Linked DNA regions of Coturnix japonica. The protein of the gene in region 1 interacts with the protein of each later gene in a pairwise test. Links are inferred from orthologs where the notes say so. Each region holds a gene or a part of one and is shown on either strand. Other genes may lie near its edges.

The links.
Region 2: the proteins of RBM17 (region 1) and DHX15 interact in binary tests that used the Homo sapiens proteins (3 or more experiments, as listed by UniProt). The link is inferred for Coturnix japonica from reciprocal best matches to the Homo sapiens genes RBM17 and DHX15.
Region 3: the proteins of RBM17 (region 1) and GOLGA2 interact in binary tests that used the Homo sapiens proteins (3 or more experiments, as listed by UniProt). The two-hybrid records come from large-scale screens. The link is inferred for Coturnix japonica from reciprocal best matches to the Homo sapiens genes RBM17 and GOLGA2.
Region 4: the proteins of RBM17 (region 1) and SAT1 interact in binary tests that used the Homo sapiens proteins (3 or more experiments, as listed by UniProt). The two-hybrid records come from large-scale screens. The link is inferred for Coturnix japonica from reciprocal best matches to the Homo sapiens genes RBM17 and SAT1.
Region 5: the proteins of RBM17 (region 1) and U2SURP interact in binary tests that used the Homo sapiens proteins (3 or more experiments, as listed by UniProt). The link is inferred for Coturnix japonica from reciprocal best matches to the Homo sapiens genes RBM17 and U2SURP.
Region 6: the proteins of RBM17 (region 1) and QRICH1 interact in binary tests that used the Homo sapiens proteins (3 or more experiments, as listed by UniProt). The two-hybrid records come from large-scale screens. The link is inferred for Coturnix japonica from reciprocal best matches to the Homo sapiens genes RBM17 and QRICH1.

The regions. Positions count from the first base shown.
Region 1 is NC_029516.1:3,122,371-3,127,209, forward strand, and holds part of RBM17 (splicing factor 45), read left to right. Parts: intron 1-995; coding exon 996-1,112; intron 1,113-1,567; coding exon 1,568-1,734; intron 1,735-3,169; coding exon 3,170-3,267; intron 3,268-3,967; coding exon 3,968-4,024; intron 4,025-4,839. UniProt on the Homo sapiens protein: Splice factor that binds to the single-stranded 3'AG at the exon/intron border and promotes its utilization in the second catalytic step. Involved in the regulation of alternative splicing and the utilization of cryptic splice sites.
Region 2 is NC_029519.1:66,707,956-66,713,509, reverse strand, and holds the start of DHX15 (pre-mRNA-splicing factor ATP-dependent RNA helicase DHX15), read right to left. Parts: upstream 3,667-5,554; 5' UTR 3,543-3,666; coding exon 3,478-3,542; intron 1-3,477.
Region 3 is NC_029532.1:3,749,702-3,754,540, reverse strand, and holds part of GOLGA2 (golgin subfamily A member 2), read right to left. Parts: coding exon 4,582-4,839; intron 4,119-4,581; coding exon 4,005-4,118; intron 3,697-4,004; coding exon 3,472-3,696; intron 3,262-3,471; coding exon 3,162-3,261; intron 3,070-3,161; coding exon 2,981-3,069; intron 2,402-2,980; coding exon 2,248-2,401; intron 2,117-2,247; coding exon 2,049-2,116; intron 1,488-2,048; coding exon 1,385-1,487; intron 1,191-1,384; coding exon 1,084-1,190; intron 900-1,083; coding exon 731-899; intron 632-730; coding exon 381-631; 3' UTR 1-380. UniProt on the Homo sapiens protein: Peripheral membrane component of the cis-Golgi stack that acts as a membrane skeleton that maintains the structure of the Golgi apparatus, and as a vesicle thether that facilitates vesicle fusion to the Golgi membrane.
Region 4 is NC_029516.1:107,414,457-107,419,835, forward strand, and holds SAT1 (diamine acetyltransferase 1), read left to right. Parts: upstream 1-1,668; 5' UTR 1,669-1,882; coding exon 1,883-1,948; intron 1,949-2,145; coding exon 2,146-2,365; intron 2,366-3,508; coding exon 3,509-3,610; intron 3,611-3,719; coding exon 3,720-3,760; intron 3,761-4,034; coding exon 4,035-4,205; 3' UTR 4,206-4,531; downstream 4,532-5,379. UniProt on the Homo sapiens protein: Enzyme which catalyzes the acetylation of polyamines. Substrate specificity: norspermidine = spermidine >> spermine > N(1)-acetylspermine. This highly regulated enzyme allows a fine attenuation of the intracellular concentration of polyamines.
Region 5 is NC_029524.1:9,009,997-9,014,835, forward strand, and holds part of U2SURP (U2 snRNP-associated SURP motif-containing protein), read left to right. Parts: intron 1-1,656; coding exon 1,657-1,724; intron 1,725-2,953; coding exon 2,954-3,048; intron 3,049-3,130; coding exon 3,131-3,166; intron 3,167-3,254; coding exon 3,255-3,337; intron 3,338-3,784; coding exon 3,785-3,950; intron 3,951-4,456; coding exon 4,457-4,668; intron 4,669-4,839.
Region 6 is NC_029527.1:9,125,110-9,129,948, forward strand, and holds part of QRICH1 (glutamine-rich protein 1), read left to right. Parts: intron 1-2,172; coding exon 2,173-2,502; intron 2,503-4,839. UniProt on the Homo sapiens protein: Transcriptional regulator that acts as a mediator of the integrated stress response (ISR) through transcriptional control of protein homeostasis under conditions of ER stress.

The DNA.
Region 1 (4,839 bases):
GGGAGGTTGTGGATGCCCCGTCCTTGGAGGTGTTCAAGGCCAGGTTGGTCTTATACATCTGCATCATTTTATGCTTTCTGTTTAAAGGGCCTTAGGTGCCAGAGTACAAATCATTGTGCATTAGGAATACTTAGAGAAACCGTGTGTACATGGAAGGTAAAAGTAGTGCAATTCCTTGAGCTTAAGCTATAATAGCCATTTTCTGCTCTATTTATTGTGACAATATTTCACCTCGTGCCTTTACACAGTACTGTTATTCTGTTTTGATTCTTTCAGGATGTGTGTACATTCTTTATGATCCATAAGGTCTAGAGTGAGATTACTTAGATACTGCTACAGATGATTACTGAGACATGGCATTTATTCATTGGAATTGGTGCTGATTTACACTGCTAAAATTGACAGCAGGGTTTTTTGCTGTTGGTTGGAGCAACGTGCATGAATGAAATTGGAGATGGCTGCTGTGTTAGGCCTTTTCTTTGTCTGTATGTGTGCAAATACCCAGGCTGGATGTGGCTCTGGGCAGCTTCATCTGGTTGCCCAAGGAGGTTGTGGATGCCCCATCCCTGGAGGCATTGAAGGCCAGGCTGGATGTGGCTCTGGGAACCCAGGTCTGGTAGTTGGTGACCCTGCACATAGCAGGGGAGTTGAAACTGGATGATCATTGTGGGTCCTTTTCAACCCAGGTCATTGATTCTATGGAATAGAATAACAGTAATAGAAGAATATAATAAGTTTGAAAAATGGATCAATAATATTTTGCTAGATGGTAAAACATGTCTTTAGAGCAGGTTGAAGACCCTTCTTAGGAAAAAATCTTCTAAGTTCAACCTGAAGAGATCCCCTGTGCTTTTAATGTGTGCTTTGCATCCAAGCGCAGAGCATTCACCTATCGCTGTGTGTTTCAGTGCATGCACAAACAAAGTCTGATCTCTCTTCCTTAAAAAGAGGAAAGTGTGCTATTTTAGATACTTTATATTTTGGCTGTTTTTCAGAGTCAGAGAACCAAACAAACAACAGTACTTGCTCCAGTGATTGACCTGAAACGAGGTAGTTCTTCTGATGAGAGACAGATCGTGGACACACCGCCTCATGTAGCAGCTGGGTTAAAGGTAAGAACAAAACAGGCTCCATCTGTTAACAGATGTTTCTGAATTGGAATACTTTGACAGCCATCTCTACTTGATTTTTAAATGGTCTTTCCAAGTGCTAAAAGAACTGATTTGTTTTCCAGAATTGGAACCTCAGCTCAGAGGTTCTTAAATTAATGAGCATTTCAGCTTTTTACACACTTCCATGTGATACAACTTGGAAGCATCCTGATGAGTTAAAAGCTGGACAGCTTCAAAATACTTTGCAAAATGGTCGGGTAAATAACAAAGGTAGATGCAATGCACCAGTGTATAATGATAGGAATAATCATCACAGTGATACTGTTGTGGAACCTTTGGAGGTCGTCTGGTCCAACAGCACTATTCAAGCAGGGATACACCAAACACGTTGCCCAGGACTATGATTCTATAATCTTAGCTGACAAACATCACTGTTCTCCTTTTTCTCTTTCAAGGATCCCGTACCTAGTGGTTTTTCTGCAGGAGATGTATTGATTCCTTTGGCAGATGAGTATGATCCTATGTTTCCAAATGATTATGAAAAAGTGGTGAAGCGGCAAAGAGAGGAACGACAGAGGCAGCGTGAGCTGGAGAGGCAAAAGGAAATTGAAGAGAGAGAAAAGTAAGGCTTTTGTTTTAAGTGTGGCATATTGGCAGTGAGGTAAATAATAGGCTGTTAAATATACATCTCTTTGGTTTTATCCCCCTGAAGAGATACAGGGAATTTCTTTGGGTTTAGCAAATAATATTATTTTAGAGTGTTTGTTGTCAATGTAGTTTGACATTAGAAATGCTTATCAGCATTCAAAGATAAATATTCTCCCTTTTTACATACTTCACACTGGCCTGTGAATTCATTTCAGTTTTAAAGCATAGTGAGCACTGCCTTTATGAAGCATAGTTGCCTATTACTTCCTTCCTTCCAGTACCTGAAAAGTTCTTACAGTGAGAGCGGGGCAGGTCTCTTCTCACTAGTGGGGAAATGGCCTCATGTTGCACCAGGGCAAGTTTAGGTTGGATACTAGGAAGAACTTCTTTACAGAAAGGGTAGTTAGGTACTGGAATAGGCTCCCCAGGGAGGTGGTTGAATCGCCATCCCTGGTTGTGTTTAAGAGCCGTTTGGATGTGGTGCTCAGGGATATGATTTAGTGGAGGGTGTTTAGAGTTAGGGTACTGGTTAGGCTGTGGTTGGACTTGATGATCTTNGTTTAAGAGCCATTTGGATGTGGTGCTCGGGGATATGATTTAGTGGAGGGTTTTTAGAGTTAGGGTACTAGTTAGGCTGCGGTTGGACTTGATGATCTTCAAGGTCTTTTCCAACCTGGGTAATTCTATGATTCATGTTTTGCCTTCAGTTTAAGCACATTATGTATTTATCTCTCTTGTCTCTGGACAAAAGAATATTAATTTTTAAGTACTTTGGTGCTTTTTCCATGGAATAAGAAATCCCTTTAATCTTATTAAAGGTCTTGAATGCAGATTTAGCATCCTATTGAAATAGGTGGTAAAACATCTGCCAGGCAACAAGATTACAGTTGGTTATTCTAAGTGAAACTGGTAAGCAGTTTCATTGTACAGACACATGAAGTCTGTGGAATTACGCTGTTTAAGCATGAAGACTGTTTTCTTTTAAAACTGACTGATTAATCATTGCTTCAGATAGCCTTTGGTGGGGAATTTTAATGGGAATCTGTTCAATGCAGGATGATTAATTAACAGTTCTGCTACCTTCCTGATGTAGTCTTTCATTCAGTGTCATCAGTTTGGGCTAGATTTATTCATAGGCTTCCTCATTTCCATACTTTGTTTTCGATTGGTTTGCAAATGGAAAATGATTTGAATTCATTTCCTGTTTAAAAATAGGATAAAAGCAAACAACAACAACAAAAAAAAACACTAGAAGTAAGGGTGTTTACTTACATTTTCATAGAAAGCACATGATAAATTGCTAATTCAACTGGCCAAATGCCATGTAATTCGCATGGCAAAGGTAGTGTCATGAGTTAAAGCGGAGCTGACTTGGATTGTTTCTTATCCTGACTTGCTGTGTCTCCTAGAAGACGTAAAGACAGGCATGAAGCCAGTGGGTTTTCGAGAAGACCGGATCCAGATTCTGATGAAGATGAAGATTACGAAAGAGAGAGAAGAAAAAGAAGTAAGGGAGCTATTTATTAGTAGGAGGAAGAAACACAGGGACAATGACGATATGGTCACTGTCCTGGTTTGATGTATTTTGTGTTTCTCTTTTCTCAGCTGGGAAGCATACTGTTAACATTGGAGCCTCTAGAATAAACCCATTGTTTTATTACATTGTAGCTTTTTTAATACAGTATTTTTTCCTATGGTGGAAGCTGTCATCTTGATTATTTGTGGCTTTCCACTGGTTTGTCAGTACCTATTTTAACTTTATGCCTGGTGTGGATTCCAGGAGAAAAGGGAAGCATGGGATAAAATGAAGCCATGAGAATCACCATTGAGCTTTCACTATTGGTGCTTTACCAAATTGGTGACTACCTTAAAATGCTGCATATTAAAATGGGGAGGGGGCTTTGTACTGTACTCCTGTGTAAGTGTAGTTAAGCTTGAGCGGAGTATTGGCTTAATTGAACTGTTTTAGAACTGAAGGTTTGCTTCCCTTGTAGCCTTAAACTTTGCAATTCTATGCAATATGTTGACTCTAGAAACAACATGTGGTACATGATTGCAGTATAATCTTCTTTGGTGGGCTTTTCATTCAGATTGCTCACTCTCTTGCTGCTGCTTTTGGAGCCAGCAGCTGTGTTAAACCTCAGTGCGGCTATTCCAAGCAGCAGAACCTAGTCACACAAACATGCTCTTTTCTGTTTTACTCACAGGTATGGGAGGAGCTGCAATTGCACCACCCACTTCTCTGGTTGAGAAGGACAAAGAACGTAAGTACACCAAAATCCTGTCCTCTGAAAGCAGTAATATTGCTTAATTCTCACTCAGCATTCTATTCAGTGAGGTCATCCTGCTGTTCTTTCCATGTGGTTCTTTCTTGCCCAGTGGCCTGTTCTGGTTGTTTGTTGACCTCAGGGAGGTTGTGGGGAACCTGTAATATTACTGTTTCCTGTCTCTGTTACAAAGGATTCTTTCTGTATAGCTGGAGATGTGGTTTAACAGGCTGCTCTGTTGTAACCGTGCCCAGTTACTCATTTGTGGTGTAAAAAAAGTGATGTTGAAGACAGGTGGATGAAAAACTTCAATGGTATGAAGAGAGAATTCTCCCATCGCCCTTTGCGTTCAGAGGTGCTTTATGAATGACTCCTCTAAAGCAGTCATGCAATGCAAACACAACTTTTAAAATCTTTGAGGGATACCCAAAGAACACTCAGAAAAATCCTCTTAAGCAAATATCATCTGTGTGTGAAAACTGAAGCTTTGAAGGTCTTACTTTGGAGACAAAAGATAAGTTCATATTTCCACTTTACTGCTAATAGATAATGCAGGTGATACCTGTTGAAGAATTATGTGTGCAGAAGGGTTGTCCTCAATGAGTTCGGGTTGAAGATCGCACTATTCCACTAGGTGGCAGAATCGTGCTGTAAGAACAGAATGCTAAGGGTTCTTTTTATATGTCCGGTTTTTAAATGACACAATGTGCTGTTCATTGTTTTTCGTCCTTAAAAGTAATAGTGCACATAAGGGACCTTCCAGATTTTATTTGAAAGAAGATTAAAATAAAATAATGGAAGCTTGGCGGTGT
Region 2 (5,554 bases), on another chromosome or scaffold:
TATGGTGTTTTCTCCAGTATCGCCTCCTACCACCTGCTTCAACAACAGTATGTGTGCACTCCTATTTGTCCCATCCTGTTACCAAACCTCAGACATTGCTATATCTGCACAATTTGTGAAAATCTCTATTACCTGAACTATTCCACATCTTCAACATGAAGAAATACAAACTTAAGAACATCCATAAGGAAAAAACTTATTACTTCAAGTTATAAATCTACTCCATTTTCTCTAAACTAAGATAATCTACAAAGTTAAAATCAAAGCAGCAATACCAGAACAAGTCAATGGCAAATAACTGGCATTAAACACCAACCAATCTTGGACTGGTCCACTACTTTTATCAGAGATGTGAAGTATACTTTCTTCTAACCATAAAGTCCAAGAAATAATTATATTGCAAGTGCAGAGAAATAGGATTATTTTTGTTGTATGCTCAAAATTGCATCTCACCTCAGTCTTTGTGGCAGTTTCAGATTACTAAGATCTGTGTACCCGTCTCCACACACAATTTTGCTTCCCCTACTGAACCCTGATACACTCACCAAGAAACCCCCAGATTTACCAAAGAAATACAGCCACACAGTTCCAATAAAACTCCAAACCTTACTGTGATTTGGCACTTTGAAGAGAGTCCCACTTTACCAATAAATTCCATTTTTTAGATTACATTTTAAACAACTACAAGTTTAAAAAAAAAAAATGGCATTTTTATCTGCAAAACTTTTGAACTAGAAGTGCTAAAGTAATAAGCAAACTTCTAGCTAACGTAAATTAAATGGACAGCAAGTGGGAACCAAACTGGAACTGTTACTCCCCAGTGACTGTTATCTCATTAACTCTTCAGTCATAACAGAAAAGGAACCGATCAAGTTCTACCTACATTTCAGAAGTCAAAAAGCTGACTTAAAGGTCAACCAAGAGAGTTGATTTTCAGTTCCAAAAATGGTTAAGAACAGTATAAAAGAGGGGAATCAGACGTCAGCACAGAAAAAACAGACCTTAAATCTAATCATCAATATTAATCTTTCTACAACAGCATTACTTTCCTAAGAACATGTCTGTCAGCCTTCCACTACCACTGAAATCTATGAGGCACACCAGGTACCTTGCATCAAAACAAGGGACAGGTAGAGTGATGGTTACACTGCCAAATGATAACACTAAAATCTCTGGAAACACAACTTGGCAGTTCTTCATTAATGGAATGTCACATTTAAGTCGCTCCTCATCTCTGCACTTAACAGCCTGACCATAAACCCTAAAACAAACAACAAAAAGAATCAAAACTTAATAACATTTGTCTCGTGCATAAAGTCCACAACAATCTTCATAAATGGGAAGAGGTTGGTGGCAACGGTGGGTTTTGTTGGGCATTTATATTTATTAGTTGGATTTCTGTTCTCATGTGAGGTTGCCTGGTTTGCTACCTGAACTCCTTATGCCCACCCATACAAATAGATGGAAAAAAAAAAAAAAAGGTGAAAAAAATAAATCACTGACTTAGAGGACATAAAAGCACAGAAAACTGCAAATGGAAAAGAAATAAGGTTAAACCAACATTCACAGAATCACAGAATTGTAGGGGTTGGAAGGATCTCTAGAGATCGAGTCCAACCCCCCACCAAAGCAGGTTCCCCTACACCAGGTCATACAAGTGGGCGTCCAAGTGGGACTTGAATATCTGCAGAGAAGGAGACTCCACGACCCCCCTGGGCAGCCTGTTCCAGTTCCATTCATCACAACAGAAGTCTAAGCAAAACTAACATCACTGATACATGCATTTTTGCCACTACTAAGCAGACGCAACAATAGTTGTTGGCAGTCGATGCAGCAGCAGCAGTTAGATTGGCATTTCTGCTCTTTACCTAAGAAAATCAGTGAAAACGATGCATCACACAAACACAGCAACTGTGATGTTACACAACACCAAACAAAGATAAGCGTGCTTAGAAAAAAAAACCATCGGGTTTTAAATTGCACACATACAACTTGCACAGTAGCACTGTAACAGAAAACTTCTAAACCACACCTTCCCCAAAAGGTTTTGTCTTCACAGAGGATTCTTCAAGACAGGAAGATAACGAGTGGTGTCAAGCCACTAAGGCTGCAAGAACAGCTGCAAACCAACAGCATGACTGCCATGTGGGGTTACACACACTGATACAGGCCTCAGAAAGAACATAGCAACAACTCAACATAATTTTACATTGTAGACAGGTGACCCACGTTGAAGGCAAGGTACAATGCTATTCTATACATGATGTGGTATCTATTCAAGGAGCTAATATAGTTTAATCCAGTTCCAAAACCAACTACACTGCAGAAAGCCACAGTGTGCAGAATAGGACAAGAATATACATGTTGGTAACAACTTGTGCATCGCAGCCTTCTGTAGGCTGGAAAACCTACCGACCCTTACATAAGCCAGGACAACTTAGGATGAATAGTGTGTGCCTTGTGCTGGATGAACTAAGATCTCAAGGACTATGACAAAGAAATAAACTCAACAAGTCCACAGTGACTCTTAGTCCTGTGCCACTTAAAGCTTTTAACGGCAGACTTGGTAAAGTTTTAATGGCAGATGAGGGAAGGACAAAGGGACACAAACCCGGCACCTATGGAGGTTTGAGGTGCAATATTCTGTGCTGATTCTTCTCAGATCAACACTTTTACCTAAACAGCACTGCTGGGCTTCAGGGAGGAGCTGATTCAGGATGGGATTCAGGATGGGTTCTGTGCTTCCCAAGAAGGGCAGGCCAGATAAACACAGCCCTGCCTTCCTGAGCCTTCTGAGGCCCTTTGCTCCCAAACCAACGTCAGGGAACACAAAATATGAAGAGACCGCACTAAAACAACAACGGCACATTGTTTGTGTACCCCCCACGCCACTAACCTTGATGGAAGGCTGCTAAAGCTGGTGCATCGAGCCCTAAAAGTAACTAACGCAAAACAAAGAAACCTACTCCCACCGTGACATCCCACCCCAACCCCACCTGGCGCTGCCTCCTCACATGAGGCACAACCCCAGCCGGGTACCCAGCGCAGGCAGCTAACAAAGGAATAACGCTCCCACCCGCTTAAGGACGCAGTACCTCACGCTGACCCCCTGGATCACGTTTGCCACTAAACGAAAACGACACAAGCGCATCAAAAAGGAGATGCGGAGTTGAAGGTACGGGCAGGCCGCACACAAAGCCGCGCCGCCCCACCGCCCCCAGCACAACCCGGCCCCTCCTTCTCCTCCCCGCCGCCATCCGCCTCCCCCACTCTCCAGGCCGAGCTGGGCCCAGTCCCACGCTGCAGCGCGCCCGGGCCTCGCCGCTCCCATCCATCCATCCATCCCTTCGTGCCGCCCCGCACGGCGGAGGCTCCATCCCGCGGGGAGCGGCCTGGGCCCAGAACGAGCAGCCGATCACGGGAGCGGCGCTGATCCCCCCCATCCTCCCGCCCGCCGCGGGCCGCGCTGCCTCGTACCCGTCAGAGCGCTTCTTGCTGGAGCTGTAATCGTCGCCCAGATCTAAGCGGTGGCGCTTGGACATGGCGGGGGCCGCTGGGTGCAGCGGGGCCGGGTTCAAGGGAACGCGCTTTGCGCTTCAAGAGCAGCAGCGACGGCAGCGGCGCCGCGAGGCCAGGAGCAGCCACTAAAATGGCGGCCGGAAGGAAGCGACGGGGCTGAGCGAGCCGCTGCCGCGCATGGGAGTGAGCGCCGCCCCGCCCCGCGCCTCACAACGGCTGCGGCCCACAGCGCTGTGGGGGCGGGCGGGAGCGGATGGCAAAGGTGCTTTCCACAGTCCGTTCTGCTCCCCAGCACAGGAGTATTTCCACGGTGGAAGTTAAAAGCAGAATGATGTTGGCACGTCGTTTTTGTGGGCCGTTGCTGACGCCCATGTGTGTAGAAAAACGCGACCTTTCACAAGTCATCTGAAGCAGAAGTGAGAAAATCGGTGACGTTCATTCAAATACATGACACTCATGTATTTGGGATTGCTAGTGCAAGGGAAGCCCGTGTTCCTAACGCCAGCAGGCACGGCTGCCACTATTACATCAAAGTTCGTTAGATTTGAACACAAACTAGTATTTCATAACAACTGCTGAAGTGCAATGAGACACATGAGCTAAAAATGCCATTTTCTCAATACAGTTATCAGGTCTTTCTTGTGTACTGATGCATTTCACATTTCCAGCCAGTACCAGCAGCAATCTATGGCTCAAACTGGATCCAGCAAACCTGCCTTTTGGGTTGTCTCTGTGTCCTGAACTGTGTTCCTCATCTCCATCCTCCCCCAGCGCCTTCTAGGAACTGGGTTAACCATCCATGCAAGCTGTGTTTGTTCCCTGACTGTAAGCAGAGATGAGGCTGAGCAGGAGAAGACAAAATCAGGCAATTAAGATGTCCCTAAATGAGATGTCCTAAGTGAATCGTTTGTAATGTTAATCATTTCACCACTGATATGAGCACTATTATTTCTAGGCAGACCCCCGTGCTCTCACAACTAGATCCTTCAGCTGTTTCTCCTCTCATCCATCATTAAGTCTTAGCAGCTGCCTTGCTTTCCAAAACAGTCACTTGATAATACAGCATAGCTCATAAAAGTCAATCTCTGAGAGCTTCTCGAAAGGCAAGAAGGATGTTTCTTGATACTTATCTACTGTTGGACATTCTCTTCTCTGTTCCTCCCTGCTTTCCCAGTATATTTCATGTTCTCTCAGTGCTGCAGTAGTGGTTTAAATTAATGTCTCAGATAAGACAGGTTAATATTATGGCAGTACATTTCATTCCTATCTCTTCATCTAGGTGCACCTGACAAAAAATACATTGTTTTCCAAGTCATCCTCCCTGCCTGTTCTCACTGCCTTTCTGCCAGAGATTACCAAAACCTTCACCTAGCTACTTGGAGGAGTGGTCACTCCCCAGCACTTTGGTCAAAGGAATTAGGTTAGATCAGATGTTTTGAATAAGAATTTGTTGTTAACTTGTGTAACTCTGAGGGCAAGAGAGTATTCTCACAACTGGCTCAGCTAGCAAATCTGAAAATGGTCAGAAAAAATCACTTAGCAGCAAGTGACCTGTTCCACGGGCACAGCCAGCTCAGGAAGTAGGTGTTTACCCACACCCTCATGTTCTTCCAGAGTTACATCAGTGTAACTGCTATAACATTCCACAAAGACAAACCATCAGTGTATATTTAGTAGAAGAGCATTTTTTATTTTAAACGATACAACAAAACGACACCCTCAGCTCAAGTTCTAGGCACTACTACAATAAAGAATACCATTTTTTTCTGCTTGAAGTGATAACTGAAATAAACATTCCAGAAATTCTGGACTTTGAGCTTTTCATGCAAAACTGGAAGTAATTTTCCAAGTTATATTACAAAAAAACTCTGGAAAAATCTGTGTCACAGTTTGCCAGGGGTTAAATGTTACGGGTTTCTCTCTACATGCCAAATATCAAGCTTATTTTCTCCAAGGCAGCGTACAAAGCACTACATTCCCAGAGGGTAGCTACACAAAGCTCTTTAAATGACAACTGTATTAAGCAAAAGCTTAA
Region 3 (4,839 bases), on another chromosome or scaffold:
TGTTACCAGAGTTAAGTTAGTGACTTTGGGAGCCTCAGAAGGAAGTTGGCAGGTTACAGTCGTGACTGATGGATGAGGGGTCGGGGGTACAGGACAAGGGCTCAAGGAATTTGCCATAAGTCACAGAGTCCCTTCCCCCCAACCTGCACCAGGCCCAGCTGAAGAGCCAGCGCCACTCAGCTGTGCTCCAAGCACACCAAGTAACAGAGGGAAGAGCAGGAATGATGCTGAGTTCCATCTGATGCAATCCCTCTTTCCTGCCATCTTTACAGCAGATCACTGTTCTGACCAAGGGTGCTGAGCAGCAGTATGGGCACGTACAAGTCAGTTTAGTCCTTGCAGGCTCATAGAAAATCTCCGTAAATAAGAATTGGTGCTACTTAAACCACCATGATTTTGACCTCGTCATTCTCATCAGCACGATAGAAGAATGGAATGCAGGGGTTTTCCAGCAAGGAGCCCGACCTCTCCTGAGGGTTCTGGATTTCTCTGAGGAGCTGCATTATTTGCTTTGCTGTAGGGTCCTCTTGGCTTGGCTGAGCAGCTTTAGTGTCAATAGGGTAGAAACTGGATTGATGAAGAGCAGCAGCGTCTTGCTCTGCTTCGTCTGCTAAATTCACTTCTCGTAACCCTGTGAGGAACACAGAAGACAGGCAGGTAACTCCTCCCATCCACACACAGAGACTTTGGGTTATTCCATTTGATATAACTTGTTCTGCCTCCAGCTTACCTTCTCCATCTGTAGCGTTCAGTTCAATGCGCCTCTCCACTGGCAGTGCGTTTTCATTCTGGCTTGCTAACAGCTCTGGGTTTTGAGCAGCTGCTACATACTTGCTGTACCATTCATTTCTTTCCTTGACCAGACGCATCACTAAATCCTGCAGTTCCAGTAATTTTACCTGCACCAAAGCAAAGGAAAACTTAAGCAGCGTGCATATCCAGCTTGCTGTTTTGCCACTGTTAAAACTTCAAAATTAAAGCCAGCTCAAGAACAACAAAGGAAGGTTTACATTGTGCAGGTATCCCCCAGGCCTGCCTATAAGTGTATGCTGTGTCTGTAGTACTACAGAAGAGATTCCTTGCCTTCATCTCCTCCTTATCCTGAGCCAGCCTGCTGATGTACTCCTCTTTCTCCTGGTGCCGCTGTTTAAGGATAGCCCTTTGACTCTGGTATAATGCTATATATTCCCCTGGAACACAAGAGAAGCATAAGGAATAAGTGAGATTGATGTACAAGCCATACTGTGAGCATAAACCTATGCTGCCTGAAGATCCAGCTGTGGATTGGAAGCCTAGCATAGCTAGGTAGCAAGACTTGAACCATTCGGCATGTGGCAGACTCAGATCCCAAAGCCCAGGTTTGTGTTGTGTTGTATAAACGTACCAATGGTGTCTGTTTCCCCAGACAGCTGTATGCAGCGATGTTCCAGCTCTTCCAGCCGTTCCTTCAGATCAGCTTTCTCCTGTATCAGATCTGTGAAACGGGCCTGGACACAAAAATTGGTGTGAGTCACCTCAGCTGCTCACATATGGGAATACCCGTGTTAAAGACAGCACCCTCCATTCACAGCTGTCTGAGCCCAGGGAACAAATTGTGCTGCCTTTACAACTACTCTGATTTGGCAGTAAAAAGGAACAGAGCTACAGAAGGCAGAGCAAAGCATCTCTGCATATTGGGAAGCAGAAGGACTGAGGGAACAAAGTGCCTTCTCATTGCTGGGCCAGCACAACTGTGGTCACACTTAGTCTGCAGATCTTGGAGAGATCTGCTTCGTCTCAGCACGGTGAAGTCTGTCTATTTTTCATCTACTTCTTTAGGAAGAGACCAGGAATGGGCATTAGGCCCTTACAGTCTTTGGGCAGGGCAGGGGAAGCTCAGCTATGATGAGACAAGTCATGAGGAAAGCCACTTCTTAGGAATTAGGTTATTATCATGGAACAGCTGCTACTTATTCCCCTGCAACACGTGTGTGATTCAAGAGTCTGGCACTGGGTGCAAATTGAGCTAAGTGAGGCAGAGGGGCAGAAAGAGGAGACCCTTTGCTTACCTGTAGTTTCTCCATGGCAGTTTTTAAAGCCTCATGAACCTCTACTGGAACACTACCCATAGTGGAATCTGGAAAGGACATTTGTAGTTGACAGTGCCTGCTTAAGCATGATTCGTTCACAAAACCCATAGGACTGTTTCACAGAGGTCAGGGCCAGGTTGGGGCACATCTCCATACTCACACTGTACCCAAGATTTACCTTCACTCAGTGTGATGTTACGCTGCTGCTCCTGCCGAAGAGCTGCTATTTGCTGCAGGAGGTTTCTGCACTGCTGCTTCTGAGCAGCCAACTGTTGCCTCATCTCTTCTCGTTCCTTCTCCACTTGGGACATGGCAGACGTCAAGAAAGTCACCTGAAGTGAATTGCAAAGGACTCACGTTAGTGATTGTCCTGTGTGAAGTGTGATCAATTGTGCATCTCATGGTAAGGGGAATAACAGAAATTAACCCCATTTTACTTATGGATAGGAAACCCGTCAGACCAACCCAGGCAGCAACTACTGCGTGTCTTGTCAAGTAGCACAAACCGTTTCTTCTCTGCAGGTGAAACCTGAATTCCCACTGTTTGATCACAGTATTTTCCGCTTACAAAAACAAATTAGTGACGTTCAACACCACTTCCTAATTGCCTTCCAAAGTGAGGAGAACATCAATCATCACAATAGTTAGAGCCACTCTGCCAGCTGGCTTGTCTTTGTAATTAACCATTGCTGGACTTCCAGCTTGTTTTTCAACCATACTGTAGAAATCCTCTTGGTTCTTTTGCTGCTGTGTGAAGGGGACTGTAGCAGTTCTCTGTGCCTCAACTGCGGGGAGCACAGCTGGTAAACAACTTAATACACACTGCAGAACCTCTGCAATTCAATCTGCCTCCTCTCCTAGACATTTGTTCACAACTGAGAACAAAGGCTTTTCTACCCATTGAGACCCACCATTTCTTCATGGCTTTCAAACTTCTCTGGGATCACAAACGAAGGGTTTTTCACTTCTTCAGCCATCACTTCACTTTCAATTCCATCTCCTGGAAAGGAAGGGAGGTGAACAATGAGGTGAAAATACCCCTCAGAGCCCAGTTCCACCTCCCGTCCCTGGAGGGCAGCTGCAGCTACGCACCTTCTAGTCTGTGCAGCATCCTGCCATCCAGCTCTGCTGCTAACTGACTGATCTGGGCCTGCAGCTCTTTGTTTTCTTTTGCTACAACTTCCAGACTTTCCTGCAAGTCAGAAGCAGAACGTCAGTGAGAAAAGCTCCTCACCGAAACCCGCACAAACCAAACTGAAAACAGTCACTAGCAACAGCACCACAGAAACAAGCACACAAATAGCCACAATTATCACTTGTCTCTAATTCACCTCTATTGCACAGGATGTGGTGCAATTAAGCATTTTGCCTCCAGTCTTTCCACTTGCCCCTCTTTTATTACCTTCGTCTGCTGCAGTTCCTTCAGGTGCATTTCCACTGTCACCTTCCCCTGAACTTCCTCATGCTGCAGCCTGTCCATTAGCTGTGTCTGAAGCAAGTATTGCTTTTGCAGCTCCTCCTTCTCAGCAGCCAGTTGCTGGTATGCCACAGTGTACTGCTGTAAGTGGCCATAGAACTGATCCCGCTGCTCCTGCAGAGCCCGAGCCTCCTGTGTTTTCAGTTCCAGCTAACAACACATGATACAACACATGAAACAACCATCAGATCAAATCATTTCTGCCAGAAAAAGATGACAACTCGTGTGGCACCATCCAAACTGTCAATGCTGCCCCAAAGCCACCACCGAGGCCGGCAGCCACCATCTGTCCCCACATGCTGGTCCCCCGCATCAGACAGCAGGTGACACGGGAGGGCTCCCAGCTTGATCATTAACAATACCAATTTCCATCTTTCCATCAAAGTTTGGTAAGTTGCCAGCTCTCCTGTGCACAAACTGTTGCACACCTGCCCTGCTGTCCCTCTGCTGTTGCTTACCGTCTCTTTGAGCTCCCCCAGGTTCTCCTGCAGCTGCCCAATCTTCTTAGCCAGCTCCTTCTTTACGTGTTGCTCTGACTGCAGGGCACTTGTAACCTCCATGTTTTCATTTGTCTGCAAGAATCAAAAGCATCATAGAAGGAAACTGCCCCAATCACCATAAGTATTTGCTCACATAAGCTAAATCAGTAAACCACATTAATTCCTGATACAGTGGGATACCATCCCTTGTGTTGTTCTGAGCTGTAAATAAGGGCAGTAATTGACTTTTTAAAAGGCTGAGGAGATGGGAGAAGAGCAGTGGGGGGGATCAGTGCTGGGACAGTGCCAAGAAGAGGCCTGGCACATCACACAGCCTGTCAGATCCAAAGCAGATGGGTGACATGAACACCCCAAATAAAGCAACAGATCTTCAAAACCAAGAAGACAAGTTCAGAAAGACCTGAGAAAAAAAAAAACAACCCAGTGACCAGATCGTGTGTTATGTGCCAGGACCCCAAAGGGGAAACTGGTACATTGAAAGAAGCAAGAGTAAGAATTCAGCTTCAGGAATTTCAGATCCATCAAAGAGACGTACCAATTTGACAAACCCATTCTGCAGCTCAGCCAGCTGCTCCTTCAGCTCCCGATTCTGGCTCAGTGCCCTGCTGATGGTGGCCTTGTCACTCTGCATGCTCTCCAGGATCTGCTGTCTGTCCACAGACTCTTCATTGTAGCGCTGTACTGTCTTCTCAAGCTCCAGCAGCCGCTCCTCCTGCTCCTGGTTGAGGCGGCTCAGCTGCTCGTTGTCACGGACCTGGGCCTGGTATTGTCCATGCAGTTCCTCCTTCTCGTG
Region 4 (5,379 bases), about 100 Mb from region 1:
TTATGGGGGGAAGGAAGGTTGATGGGCTGATTTATTCTGTGCTTCTTATTGGCTCATAAAAGATTCTTTTGAGGCTAGGAGTTCTCCAGGTATTTTATTCTTGTGCATTGTGAGTTTGAAATCTAACTCCAATTGGTTCTAACTTCTAAAATCACAGACTCTTCTGACTTGAAAGTGAAAGAAATCAGCCACTTTCTGCTCTTACATAACAGCATTTTCTAATAGCGTGACTTCCTCATTGTGAAATAAGAAACAGCTGAGACAATTCACGTACTCTTTTTGATAGAGACAGTGTTCCCCATTGCTGATCCCAGAGAGATTACATCTAGGAGCTGAAACGATGTCTATTGATGAAATGCATTGTAGTTAGGCTGGACCTGGTTTTGGTAGCTGAGAAGGCTGAGAGGGGATCTCATAACTGTTTATAAATACCTAAAGTGTGAGAGTCATGTTGATGGGGCAAACTCTTTTTGGTAGTGAGCAGCAATAGAACAAGGGGCAATGCAGCTGGAACTCAAAGAGTTCTGTACTAACATGAGGAAGATCACAGAATCACAGAATTGTAGGGGTTGGAAGGGACCTCTAGAGATCATCGAGTCCAACCCCCCTGCCAAAGCAGGCTCCCTACACCACGTCACACAGGTAGGCATCCAGGCGGGTCTTGAATATCTCCAGAGAAGGAGACTCCACCACCTCCCTGGGCAGCCTGTTCCAGTGCTCCGTCACCCTCACTGTAAAGAAGTTCACTTCGTCACTGTGAGGATGATAGAGCCCTGGGACTGGCTGCTCAGAGAGCCTGTGGAGTTTGTTCTCTGGAGAGATTCAAGGCCCCTGTGGATGCCTTCCTGTGCAACCTGCTATAGGGTTGGACTCCATGATCTCCAGAGTTCCCTTCCAACCCCTACAGTTCTGTGATTATGTGATTTTGTGACTGCCACTTCCTGGTTTTTATATGCATCTGTTCTCTGGACAGCTCCATATTTGTTCTAATGGAGGCTAAACTGGATTTAGGGTGAATTTAAGATGTTAGAGCCTTCCAGGGCTCTAAGCATGTGCCAGATGGTTTTCTTGACCAAACCTGGACACCAGAATACACTTCTCCATCCAATCCTTGGGCAGTATCATGTTCCATACTGGTCCCTGTGTCTAAATGAAGGTGAAACTTCAGCATAGGAAGTTCCACATGAATGTGAGAAATAATTTGTTTACAGTGAGGGTGACGGAGCACTGGAACAGGCTGCCCATGGAGGTGGTGGAGTCTCCTTTTCTGGAGATATTCAAGACCCGCCTGGACGCCTACCTGTGTGACGTGGTGTAGGGAGCCTGCTCTGGCAGGGGGGTTGGACTCAATGATCTCTAGAGGTCCCTTCCAACCCCTACAATTCTGTGAACTTCTTAAGCCATGGTGTGCACTGGAAAACGGTGTGAGTGGCACAGCCGCCCCGAGCCTCACATACAGCAGGGGGGGCCTGTCCTGCTGCGCCTCCCGCCTCCGCCAGAGGGCGCCATGGCGGCCGGCAGTCACGAGACACCGGCGGCAGCTGTTGCTGGCAGGGCGAGGCAAGATTCCGGGGAGGGGCGCTACCATTGGCTGGGGGCGAGAGCTGCGGGCACTCCCATTGGCTGTCGTGCGGGGAGAGGCGGAGCGCGGTCATCTATAAATGGAGGCGGAGGATGCGCAGCCGGCGCAGTTGGCGTTGGATCGGGGTTGTTGTCGGGTGGGAGCCGTCTGCTTGCCGAGCGCCGCCGGGACATGCTCGCAGCCTGACTGACCGCAGGTGGCCGCCGCGCCCGGGACACGAATGAAGAAACAGCTGCTCCTCCTGTTCACACACCGGGGACTCGTCAGCCGAGGGGGCCGCAGGGGGAAACGCCGTCGAAAATGGCTTCGTTCAGTATCCGCGCCGCGCGTCCCGAGGACTGCTCAGACCTGCTGCGACTGATCAAGGTGCGGGACGCCAACGTTAGGCCAAGAGGGATGGGGTGGGGGGGGGTGGGATGGGATGGGGGGGGGGGAGAGAAGGAAAGGCGGCCGAACCCGGGGAAGGCGCAAACAGGGCGTTGCGCAAGGCCGAGGGGGGGAGGGAAGGAGGGAGGAGGGGTGATGGGCCCGGGGGAGGCGGCTGACGTGTTGTGCCGTTCCAGGAACTAGCCAAGTACGAGGACATGGAGGATCAAGTGGTGCTAACCGAGAAAGGTAGGCTTGCAGCGACTGCCCGCCCTGCTGCGGCTCGGTGCCGCCGCCCGCATCTGAAGGGTCCCGTTTGTTTTGCTCTCGTAGAGCTGCTGGAGGATGGATTCGGTGAGCACCCGTTCTACCACTGCCTCGTTGCGGAGGTGCCCAAAGAGCAGTGGTCGGCTGAAGGTGAGATATTGCGCCGCTCGTTTGTTCTTTTTACATAAGAGATGCCTTGTGCTTATTGTGACCTACCTGACTTGAGGTTCCAGCGAGGAGTCGGGGCAGGAGGAACAGGCTAAGCTTAAAAATGGCGATAACGTAGAGCCGTGCTGTTGTGAAGTAGTTGCTAACCTCGGAGATGCTGGATGATCAGGTGTAACAATGTACTTAATGCCAAGTAATTAAATGGCTTTTCTTGTTTGACCCTAACTTAACCTTATGTAATCCTGTTGAATCACATGTTTTCTTTAATTTGTCCCCAATCTTCAGGTTACAGTCTCTAGCTTCGCCATGTACATGGCCCTTCTGTGTACATGGATGGGCGGGGAGGTAACTAAAAGATCCGTTACACAATAAAGTAGATGATCATAATATGAGGTAAGGTCTACAGGGACAAGTGCTATTCCCAAACCTTTACCAAAGACACAGTAGATCAGAAGTTATTGCACGCTTCCTTTAGAGTATGTGCAGAGTATGATGGTAGACATTGCGATTTTCAAGGCTTAGATTTGAATATGTTATTGCAGGAAGAGCTGGTTTCTCTTCCCTGTTGAGTGGTGCAGCTGTACTTGAAGCTGCAGTTCTATGTAGCTTGATTTGTTGGTGCTGAATTCAAAACAGCACAATACAATCAGTGTGCACATATGTCAGCGTATCAGAAATGTATCAGAATGTACCAGTTGTCTTTGAGCATGTCTTCTCTCTACTGAGCAATACATTGGAAGATGAACCTTCTGTAGAGCTTTGTAGCTTGTCGGGGTTGCCAAGCAAGGCAGTGTTGGGGCGGTTACCTAGGCCTTGGACTGCTCTGTATTGCTTTGTATTCCAGAAGGGAAGTGCTGATAAATCAGTAGGGTATGTATTAGTAGAAATAAAGCCTTTTTGTTCACTGCTTATTATAACATTGCTCTTGAGCGTTTCAGGGTGTGAAGAGGGCAGTCTTCCGTTAGGTTGATGCCAGTTTATACTGACGTTTCCAGTTGTGCTTCATTCTTATTCTAACCTTATAGCAAACGGCTGCATGTCACTATCTGTATATTTAAATATGCATGTAAGACTTAATGCAAATCGGTAGCTTCAGACCAGCTAAAGCTGCGTGCTTTGTTTCAGGGCACAGCATCGTGGGCTTTGCTATGTATTACTTCACTTACGATCCATGGATTGGGAAGCTGTTGTATCTTGAAGATTTCTATGTGATGGCTGAATACAGAGGTAAGTACTATGGAATCAGACAAGCTGCTTCCTACAGAGCTACTTTAAAATTGAAATTGTCTTGCTGTTTTTTCCTTAAACTGTATATTTTTGTTGCTTTTTCCCTCAGGACTTGGCATTGGATCAGAAATCCTGAAGAATCTGAGTCAGGTATGTCTGAGTGTTAAGTCTAAATGAACAGCACTGGGGATGCATGATGGAGCAGTAGTCTTGATTTTCTGTTAGCTGCAATCAAGTTTCTCCTTGAGCACTACACAGGATTAGCATTGATGAGTTACTAAAAGAGAAATGACAGAGCTCCAGGCAGCCTTAACCACTGCCTAGAGGCTGAACTGAGAGATAAAGTGAACATCATGACTCGGAGCAATCTGCAGCTGGTGCTGCTTAGCATCAGACCCGCTGACCTGTGTTTGCGTTCCTGCAGGTTGCTGTCAAGTGCCGCTGCAGCAGCATGCACTTCCTAGTGGCAGAGTGGAACGAGCCCTCCATCAGGTTCTACAAGAGAAGGGGCGCCTCCGATCTGTCCACTGAAGAGGGCTGGAGGCTCTTCAAAATCGACAAGGAGTATCTGTTGAAGATGGCAACGGAAGAGTAGTGAGAGAAGATTCCAGCAACTAAACTCTTGCAATGAATATACGCGCTCTCTGAATAAACCCCTTCTTGCTTTCTGTGTTGGTAGTGGAATAAAATAGAGTGGATGGTAGTACTGTGCAACCATGGTCATAGAGTAATTGGTACCGTCAGCTGGAGCGGAGGCATCTCAAGTTGAATACGTGCTTGTATCCATCCTTTTACCAGTGTGAACTTGTAATCTTTGTATATGGAAACTTCATTCTTGTAAGTGGCATTCAAATGTGTACAATGTACACACTGGTAGGGTTTGTTTTATTTCCTTTTATAAAATAAATAGTTTTCACTCAATGGCCGTAGTCTGACTCTTAATTCTCATGTGTTGCCTTTTATTTGGGTGATGCCACTTGCGTCACACAAGCACTTTCACAAGCAAAGGGGTGATGTTCTGCAATGGCTGGACATTAGGTTGGATGTTAGGGGGAAGTTCTTCACTAGAAGAGTGGTTAGGCCCTGGAACAGGCTGCCCAGGGAGGTTGTGGATGCCCCGTCCTTGGAGGTGTTCAAGACCAGGTTGGACGGGGCCCTGGGCAACCTGATCTAGTAAAGGTGTATGTTTAGTGGCCCTGCCAGGCAGGGGGGTTGGAACTACATGATCCTTGAGGTCCCTTCCAACCCAGGTCATTCTGTCTTTCTGTGACATCTCCACAGCCTCCACGCAGAGGCTGATTCCTGGTAGAGCAGATTAAGTATGTCTTTAGTTTCAAACTAACAGCTCATTAGATATGTAGGACAGAACTGTTTCAGTGTCCAGCCCTGCTCCTGCAGAACAATGGAGCTATCAAAGCAGCATGGCTGAATGCAACAAGCTTACTAATTAAGTGCTGTAATTAGGAATGTAGACGGCCCAGACACATTTTCAAGCAATTTAGAAGTGTTTCTCATATCTTCCTCATCATCTTCTGCCAGCACAGTCTGGCGTTGTTTATTTTCTAAATGAATGCCCCTGAAGTAGACTCTGAAGGCATCACAGAAAACCAAGGGAGGTGGTGGTAATGGAGAAGACAACCAGCTGCAGCTGTGCTAAACCTTCACACTCAGAGGTTAAGACAGCCTTTGTGATGTGGCTTGTGGTAGGGGCTCTAAAACCAGCCCTTAACAGAGTGATGGTGCGTAGCTCAAGGAAAGAGCAGTTTGGT
Region 5 (4,839 bases), on another chromosome or scaffold:
AACCCAAAAACTAACAAACAAACAAAACCACCCCAAAAACAAGAAATGAAACCCACACAAACCAACCAAACAAGACAACGCCTTTGCATTGATCCAAATTCTTCTTGGGTCATTTTTAAAGGACAGTTGTTTGTTTTGGGTGGTAATATTAGAACAGTTCCCTCCAGCTCTTTAAGTTCTACTAAATGAATACATTTTAGAGCTTGAGAGTTTCTGAAACTGAACAGCATGGTTTTTGTTTAATTTATTTTGACCATTGCATGGTTGGATGCACTTTCTGATTCTTAAACTCAGATTTTTGTTATAATAATTACTGGAATTTTTATGAACAGCCTTAGTTCTCAAGTCAGGTGATAGTTATGTATGACTATTGTATATGTGCAATCTGTATTCAATGTCTTGGAAGTCTTTAAAAGTGCTTACTACAATTTTTTAACTTAGCTTAAAACAATGTGATACTGCCTACCAGGATGGGAAATGAGGTAGAAGGTGGTAATTGTGAATAATCCCATCCTAACTTTCCTCCAGCTTTAAGCAAACCTCAAACCTTGAATAGTGAGATGATGCTGGATGGCAGTGCTGATTTTCATCATATGTAAAGCTCTACAGTACCAGGAATGAATTATGTTTGTTTTTTTAACCACTTGGAGCTCTGTTGTCATATGCAAGTATTTGTACTGTAAGAATATTGCTGCTTTTCAAATTTGTCATAAATACTTATCAGATAATGCAATCAGTTTACTCACTTGCCCTGTCCAATGGTGATTGAAGATAATGAGGTAAAAATGATTTTATTTATTTGGCAGACACTCCCCAAAAACAAACAAAAACAAACAACTTTGCCTGGGGTGAGTAGGAAGTCCAGTTTTTCCAAAGCTGTAGTGTGTAACACAAATATTTTGTATGTCTGCCTATTGGAAACGTTTTCATTTAAATTTGGTTATTTAAAAGCGATGTTGTAGAAGGATTCACGTGAGTTAGTTAAGGTGCATAAAGTGCAGTTAAAAAAAATAAATAAAATCCATTTTCTTTGTCATTCAGTCATTTTTCTGAGGTTCTTTTATTTACAGTAACTCTTCAGACTCTTCAGACTTGTATTTGTATCTGAAGGGAAATAAGGGATGGCAATTCCTTTCAAGTAGAATGTTTGCCTGTGGATAAAATATTTGAATATACATATATACACATGTGAATTATTACTGTATATTTGTGTGTATATATGTGTGTGTATTCTCAAAAAACAAGTGCACACGTATCAATTTAATTGGAGCGTGAAGGTTTGTTAGGGCAGTTAGCGGTTTTGTCATACATTTTAAAGTGGACCAAACTGACAAAACACACCACAGGTATCTTAAATTTGTGTGTTGTAGAGAAAGTGTTGGATCACGTACGCTGTACTGTAGTCATCAGAAGTAGTAAAGTTTAGTTCAAGCTATCCTTAATTTTACATTTGATAGCTGTGTTTGGTAGCAGTCATTTTTAATGTTTTCAAGTCTGTTTTCTTTTATTTTTCTCCTGTAGTTTACTTGGTTTGAAAGCTGAGGGTAAAAATGCATGGAAATTATCTAAATTTCTGTTACGTACATACCATTTCCATTTTTTTTGTGTGTGTCATTGCACCTGCTCAAATGTTGGCTGATATTTCTTTAATTTTAGCCTTTGAAGAAAGGAGAGAAGGAAAAGAAAAAGAGCAATCTGGAACTTTTTAAAGAAGAATTAAAGCAGTAAGTTTCCTTGATTGTTACTGTAAATAAGACACATAGTACATCTACTTTGTTTCTATAGGCAGTATTTTGAATCTTTCTTGCTAAGCTCTTCCCCAAAGTCTCTCTGCTCCCAGCCCCTTTTGTTAGCATTGGCAATCAGACTTTTAAATGGAGCGTGAAGTTTTGTTGGTAGATGCTTGGTACAGGTCCACGTGGTTTGGGTGGATAATCCCATCTAATCAGCATTCTGGTGTCCTTGATGCTCCTGTCTTTCACTGTGCTGATTGGTACTAAGAAGAGTTTACCACTACTGCTGAAAAGTATTTCTATTTTGGAATCGGAGACTTTAAAAATGATCGGTGAACAAGCACTGAAGTATGCTGGTCAACATGAGTGGATTTCTTTCCATGCCAGAAGTGTTTGTCTGACCTTTGAGGTTTTGTACTGCTTCCCTAACCAGAAGAATATCCAGAGCAGTTAAAGACTAAAAACAAACAAACAAACCCCAAAACTCACAACAAAAAGAAACAGTATATATCAGAGACCAGAATAAATGTATTGCTGTTATGTTTCTAGAGCTACTTGAAGATTATTTTTGGTTTAGTTAATGTGAATTTCACAATTTGAAGAGTTAATCATGACACTTCCCTCCCCCCTTGCCTGGTTCCCTTCCTTTTTCTTGCGAAGCTCTTCCCCAAAGTCTCTCTCTACTCCCAGCCTCTTCTGTTAATGAACCAAAAATTGGAAGGCAGAGAGATACCAAATAGTAGTTACTTGTGTGTGGGCTTTCATCAGAGGTATAAATAGAGGGTCTTGTGTGTACTGGGGATGTTCAGATGTTACCCTGCAAGGTAACAGCTATGTGAATAATAACTACAAAAAGTAGAACGATGCTGAGAGTTGTGTGCATCTGGAAAAGTTAATGGATCTCTGTCCAATATGCAATTCAGGTCACTCTGTCAGAGCACAGTTTTTATTTCTAGTCTTGGAAACTGCTTCTCAAACTTTTTCTTTTTTTGAGGTAAAAATAACCTGACAGTATGAATGAGGAATGCAGCTGGAATTATTCTGGTGGTTCTACCCCACCTGATTCAACTAAAATGAAAGCATACTGGCAATTTCACATTTTTTTTTAACAAGTCCATTGTTCAATAAGCGCTAAAGATTCTCCTATTGCAAAAAATGATACTTCAAAGTAGACACATTAAAATGTTAAGGTTGTTGCTTACTTTCAACTTGTTTTGTAGGATACAAGAAGAGCGTGATGAAAGACATAAAACAAAAGGTAGATTGAGCCGTTTTGAGCCCCCCCAGTCGGATTCAGATGGTCAGCGTCGTTCAAGTGAGTTGATGTTGCCTTTACGTTTGTTCAATCTACAAAACATTTCTTGACTAAATACGTATTTTTTTATTTATTTATTCAGTGGATGCGCCTTCAAGAAGAAACAGATCATCTGGTGGTAATATAGATTCTTTTCTCATTCAATGTAATGCCACTTAAATGCATAGTAAGGGTTGTAACTTTTATTTTCTTCTCCATTACTCTAGTACTGGATGATTATGCACCAGGGTCACATGATGTTGGGGATCCAAGCACAACAAATTTGTACCTGGGAAACATTAATCCTCAAGTAAGTTTGGAGCTATCCGGTGAAGTGCAGTATTAGCGTGTTTGGGCCCAGCTGAAATTCTGGCAGTAGCTTTTTTCAGTAGCATATTTTAATACACATGTATAAAGTAGAGTTAGCAACTGTAGAAGCAGTATTCATTTGGAAACAGATATGCTGAATGTGATGCTGAAATAGTTAAGGTTAAAAATATCACTTACTGGATGTAAAAATGCTGAACAGAAATAATTTTTCTATGGATGTTCCTTCTGAGAGGAGTTATCTCAGAAATTTGATTGTGCTTAATTTAGAATTCAGCCTCTCTATTATTGTTTTATAGCAGATTTAATTGATGAGGAATTGATTAAGTGTTCTCCATGAAATCAAAATCTCCACATTTGTATAGTAATATGAACAAATATCTTAGAACTACTGCTGCAGGAGGCTAATTTTTACTTCTGTTTCATTTAGATGAATGAAGAGATGTTATGTCAAGAATTCGGGCGCTTTGGACCACTAGCGAGTGTTAAAATTATGTGGCCAAGAACTGATGAAGAAAGAGCAAGAGAAAGAAACTGTGGCTTTGTTGCATTTATGAACAGGAGAGATGCTGAAAGAGCTTTAAAGAATTTAAATGGTAAACAGATTTTTCAGTTAGGGGTCATAATTATCTGCAGTGCATTTTGAGAATAAATATGACTAGCATACAGGAAATAGTTCTTAGTAACTGATGATAATTAGGTCCTTTTTCTTTTCTAATTTCTAGTACTAAAGAGGTAACTTAGTATACCACCTGTATGGGCTATTTTGTCTATCTTCAGTTGAGGGGGGTGAGGGGGGAAGGGAAAAAGTATCTTAAGTGTTAAGGAAAGCTATGTCCTCATAGGTAAGGAAGAGTCAAAAATCCAAAATCTACATCTTGGACAAAATTAATAGAAAATGAAAGGATGTTGTTTTCTAGCTTATGCAGACTGCTTGTACTCTTCTACAACCACTGCTAAGTAAATTACAGTATGTAGGAGTTAATCAACAACTTCAGCAGAAAATAAACCATGGCAGGGAAGCCTAACTATTGCACTTACACAGGAGAATTTGGTTCAGTGCAGAATCAGTTCCTAACAACTGTGTTTTTATCTTTTGCAGGCAAGATGATTATGTCCTTTGAAATGAAGCTAGGCTGGGGCAAAGCTGTGCCTATACCACCACACCCAATATACATTCCACCTTCAATGATGGAGCATACCCTCCCGCCTCCTCCATCAGGTCTGCCTTTTAATGCCCAGCCTAGGGAGAGGTTGAAGAATCCCAATGCTCCAATGTTACCCCCACCAAAAAACAAGGAAGATTTTGAGAAGGTAACTTATAGAACCCTGGGCCGTATCTCGTTGTTAAACACTACATCTATGAGAGTATTTCACTGGCTTCATAGATTTGTATTGTTCAGGCTGACTTTGGCAGCCCTCTGTACAAACTCATTGGCTCCCTGCTGTAGCCCAAGGGAACCTAACTAATTCCTGAAGTGATGT
Region 6 (4,839 bases), on another chromosome or scaffold:
CTGCAGCAGCTGGTTTTCACGTCAGCAGCACTAAAGTCAAAGAACAGCTGCTAGTGTTCGCTGCTGGACTCCTGGCACTGCATCCTTGAGGCTTCTTCCCTACAAGTCTCCCCTCTGCAGGCTGTGTCTGCTAATGCACCTGCAGGTGGCTGTGCACTGTGATTGTGCTGTTCTAAAAGCTTCACCATGGTACTTAATTAGAAAATGTGCAAGTTCTAAGTAGAAAATTGAGACAAGTTAATAACTCATACGCTTACCTGCTTGAGAGCATCTACCAGAGCTTCTTACAGTTAGGTGTGAGATGAGTTTGTGTGCTGGGTGTAGGTCCTGTCTGAGTCCCTGAAGGTGCATTCGTAACTTTAATCTCTGGTTGATGTCACCTTGGTACATGCAGTCATTGGTCACCTGGAACGAGGTTGATGGGGAAGAAAAGGTGCAAAGCATCAGCTGAGCCACTTTAGTGGGAAAAGCTGAGCATTGAGCTTAGATGTGCTTAGCTTTTCCTTGAGTGACTCCTGGAGGAAACCTTGCTGAGTCAGCAACTGAGTGAGCAGCATTATTGGTTCTGTCACACACGCCTGAGAACTTGTCAGAGCAGAATGACTGACAGGTAGGAGAACTGTCTCTCTGTCCAGCTCTGGGCTCTATGGGAACTTCTGTTTGCTAATTTCTACGGAGTTGTTGTATTTAGCAAGTGAACACTGCTATCATCTGCTTTGTATCACTGAAAACTGGTACATGTTTTAAGTAGTAATTCCAGCAAGTTGCCTCACATTCCCTTACCTGTGGTGTTCATTCTTGTTCACGTGGGCCTGGTCAAACGTGCTATCTGTGAACCTCTCCATGTAAACAAAAGCTCAGTGTGTTTGGACTGCTGTCACGTAACAGCAGAGAGTGGTTAGAGATCACTGTAGCGCTTGCTGGTATTGGTGGGAGCTGGGCTTGGACTTGGCAGTGCGGTTACGCCACTGACAGCCTTGGACTTGCTCCCGTCTTCACACGGTTGTTGCAGTCTCCTGTTCAATCAAAAACCTCTGTCCTGGTTCCGCTTGGTTAAATCACTGTGAACTGTTGCTAAGGGTTCTGCTTTTCATACTTCTATTAAGTACTGCAGTCAATATGTGCATACAGTGATGTTGTCCCTTTTTCTACCTCTCCGCTGGTAATAACACATCTCCTCTCCTAGTCTGAATGCTGTGCTGTTTCATGTCTTTTCACAGCCATCTCAGCAGCTGGTGGTGTTAGAGCTCAAATCCATTTACCCTGTATCGGGACTAATGAGTACCTTAGAAACAAGCAGTATGCTCACTGCAGACAGAAACAATTTGTGGGTTTAAACAAGTTAAGTCAATAAGAGAAGAACGCTGCCAGTGTGTACCCTGGAGCTTTCTAATGTTCTCAGGTGTAGTCATCTTTTTTTTTCCTCCTTGCACTCACTCTCCCAAATCATCTGACTGCCGCTGTCCCTCTGCTGTCTTTAAATGTTTCTCGTTAATCTTTTCCTATATTAAAAAGGTAACAGGAACCGATGCTGCTGTTGGCTGCTTAATTTCCAGTGCTCTGCTTCTCCGTGTGCGTAGTTCTGTTTGAGGAATCTCTTGATTCCAGTGCTCTCCTTTCACTTGCTGTGTTCAGATCGATAGGTCTCTACTAGTTTTAATAGCAGAGGGCTGAATGCTGCGTCTGCTGCTCTTCTGTTCCGCTTCCTATTAGCTGTTTAGAGTAGAGCTGCATGGCCTGGCAGAACACCCTGCCTGGTTCTCCCACCTCCATGGCTGTGAAGCAGGGCCATGTGTATTGATTTCTGAACTTCTCTCGCTAGCGTTGCATGCTGCAAACGAATGAGATCTGTGATTTGATTTATTCTGTGATGAGACTCGCCTGGTCTGGGTGAGATATAATTCTGGAAGGTGTTACATGGCAGTGAGCTCTTTGAAATAGGTGTCATGATTGTACCTGGTGGCATTCTGACTTCCCTGAACTGCTGAGGGTTAATTTGTAGCGCTGCAAGGTGCCTTACAAAGCTAAAGCATCTGTCTCAGGGCATCTGGCCCTACATGTTTGCTGGATTTCATATGGTGCTCAGTATCAGAAGTTAGTCACTGGAGCTGGGAATATCCTTGCACCAGAGGAGCGCCGTAGTTAAGAGTTTTCACTTTCTCTTTCCTTAAGGAACCCTCAGGACCTTGCAATATGAATAATTCTCTGGAGAACACCATTTCCTTTGAAGAATACATCCGTGTGAAGGCACGAACGATCCCCCAGCACAGGATGAAGGAGTTCCTGGACTCCCTGGCTTCCAAGGGGCCGGAAGCTCTGCAGGAGTTTCAGCAGACAGCCACCACCACGATGGTGTACCAGCAGGGAGGCAACTGCATTTACACGGACAGCACAGAGGTGGCCGGGTCTTTGCTTGAACTTGCTTGCCCTGTGACAACCAGTGTCCAGCAGCAAACTCAGCAAGAGCAGCAGATACAGGTTCAGCAACCCCAGCAAGTCCAGGTAAGCATCTTAAATCATCTTTGGAGGTATATATGACTTGTTAACCTGCAGAATAGTGCTCAGAGCCAGCTACTGGCTAACCTGAAACCAGAGGCAGGCGCTTAAGAAGCAGGACCATTCAGCTTCATACAGAACAGTGTTTCCCTCTTGTTTAAGGAATTTGGTAGTAAATTTGTCTTGCTGAGCCTCCATTGAGCCCCGCTGTAGGAGGAGTAACATACATAGCAATGTAGTGGTGTAACCTATTTGAGAAATGGTTGACAGTTTTGGCATGTACACAGCTCCCCGAAGCCTTGCACTCTGTGAAGCAGCTATAAATACCCTTCCTCCTCTGCTGGTCTTGCTTTTTCTTGTTGTTTAGAGTGGCTGTGGGATCTCACTCTTTTTGCTTTTATTTTTTTGCTTATTTTTTTATGAAATCAGTACTCTTCCAATAATTTTACTTGAATGTTGTGGAAGCTGTAGTTCTCGAGCTGGCTTTTAAAGGTGGAGAGAAATGCACAGAAGTTGACGTAAGTTGTGAACCATAGGAAGATGCTTTTCGTGAAAGGTGTTCTAAAAGGAGCGTATATGTCATGGAAGTTGGCTTTTTTGCACAGTTGTAGGATTCTTCTGCAGCTCTTTTATCGGGTATTAAAATAATTTGTATTAATTATTAAATGAGAAAAATCAGACATCAAGAAAAATATGTAACTTTGAGGACCAGCTGCCTGGGTCCTCAAACACTCCTTAAAGAGCTCATAGGTGGTGGGGCGTTACCAAGGTTCTCTTAAGGTGCATCTCCAAATGGCTGAACTCTGGCTGTGGCTGTGATTTTGATACGCTTCAGATGGGAAGCTTTCTGACTTGTGCAGCCTGCATCTAAGGTTGTGAGCTTTCTTCTTTTGCAACAGATGAGGGTACCATTGCTGCGGTACAGACCTGTGCTAACATCTCACTTGTGCGCTCTTATCCTACCGTAAAGACAAACTTTCCTCTTTCATTGGGTAACTTGTCTCCAATTACTCTTTCTGTTGAGTAACTGAATGCTCAGCTAGGACTTCTGTAACCCATTGCCCTACAGTAACTTGTGACACAAGGCTTTTGAAGAATAAAAGCCTCTAGTCTCACAGATAGATGCCTTAGATCTCTGTGTGAGTCTATTAGAAGTGGTCAGGGGTGGCACTGGTTCTGTCTACTGTCACGTTTTGGGGGAGAAGTTTCATTTTTCAGTTCAGCAGAAGAATTCGTAGAAGGACTAGGGCTTTTTCAGTGCCTCAGCCTTGAAGATGTTAAAGGCCTCATACCAATCATAAAGTTGACAAGGAATATGTATGAATGCATGTGTTTCCTACTGCTGCCTCCTTCTGGAACTCTTCAGAGTTCAGGCTTGACCCTTGCAAGCCTCCTAGTAACAGAGATAGGGAGGGAGGTCAAATATCACGCGCTCCTGACCTTCTTGAAAATAACTATAGAGTTGCTGCCAGTTATGTTCCTGTTTTGTAAACCAAATGGCCTGCACCTTATGGAGAATGGAAAAAAAATCTTAACAAAAGTCAAGCTCTCAAAAAGCTTTTGTAAAATACATTGTGTACTTTTCTCCTTTGCCTTTGATGCAACTCTGCTTTAGTATACCTGCTTTCACATCTGTCAGTACAGACAGTAGTGTTTGTTTTGCCTTCTGTGCTTTGTGTTGGGGCTCTGGGGGTGACAGTGTTCCACCACAGCAGTGTGTTCTGATTCCTCTGTCTCACTTTGCTGTTTTATGATAATCTTTGGTCATCTTCTGAGATCTTAATCAAACTTAAATAATCCCAGTTCTTGACTTGATAATCCTTTTTAATTCTTGCTAATCCAATTGCAAATCAGTGAAGACCCTCTGAATGACTGCGCTTCTATCTGGCAGCGTGGCGGTGTTGCTGAAGGTGACTAATAATATCACAGGTCAGATGACCTCATGGCTGCAAGTGCTGATGACAGCCCTATGATCATAAGGATAGACAGTGCTCAGGTTTCATCCTCTGTCTTCATTGCTGAAGACAAAGACAGTGCATGACTGCTGCTGTTTTCATTTGTCCTGGCAAAATATGCTTTGAAGGAGAAATTGCCACTGTAGGGTTTTCTTGCCTAAAAGATCCAACAAACTGTTGCCTAACGTTTATTTCCAAGTAGATGGGACTGTTCCGTTAAGTTATATAGAAGTTGGTGCTACGGTGCAAGTGCCCTGGAGCTCCTTTCATGCTCAGTATCACAGTTAGGTGTTATGTCTTAATAAATGGTTTAGCATGTCAAGTTGTCAGACCCTGTGTAGTGTCAGGGGCTGCTCACTTGCAGTTGAGTAAGAGTTTTATCAGCTTA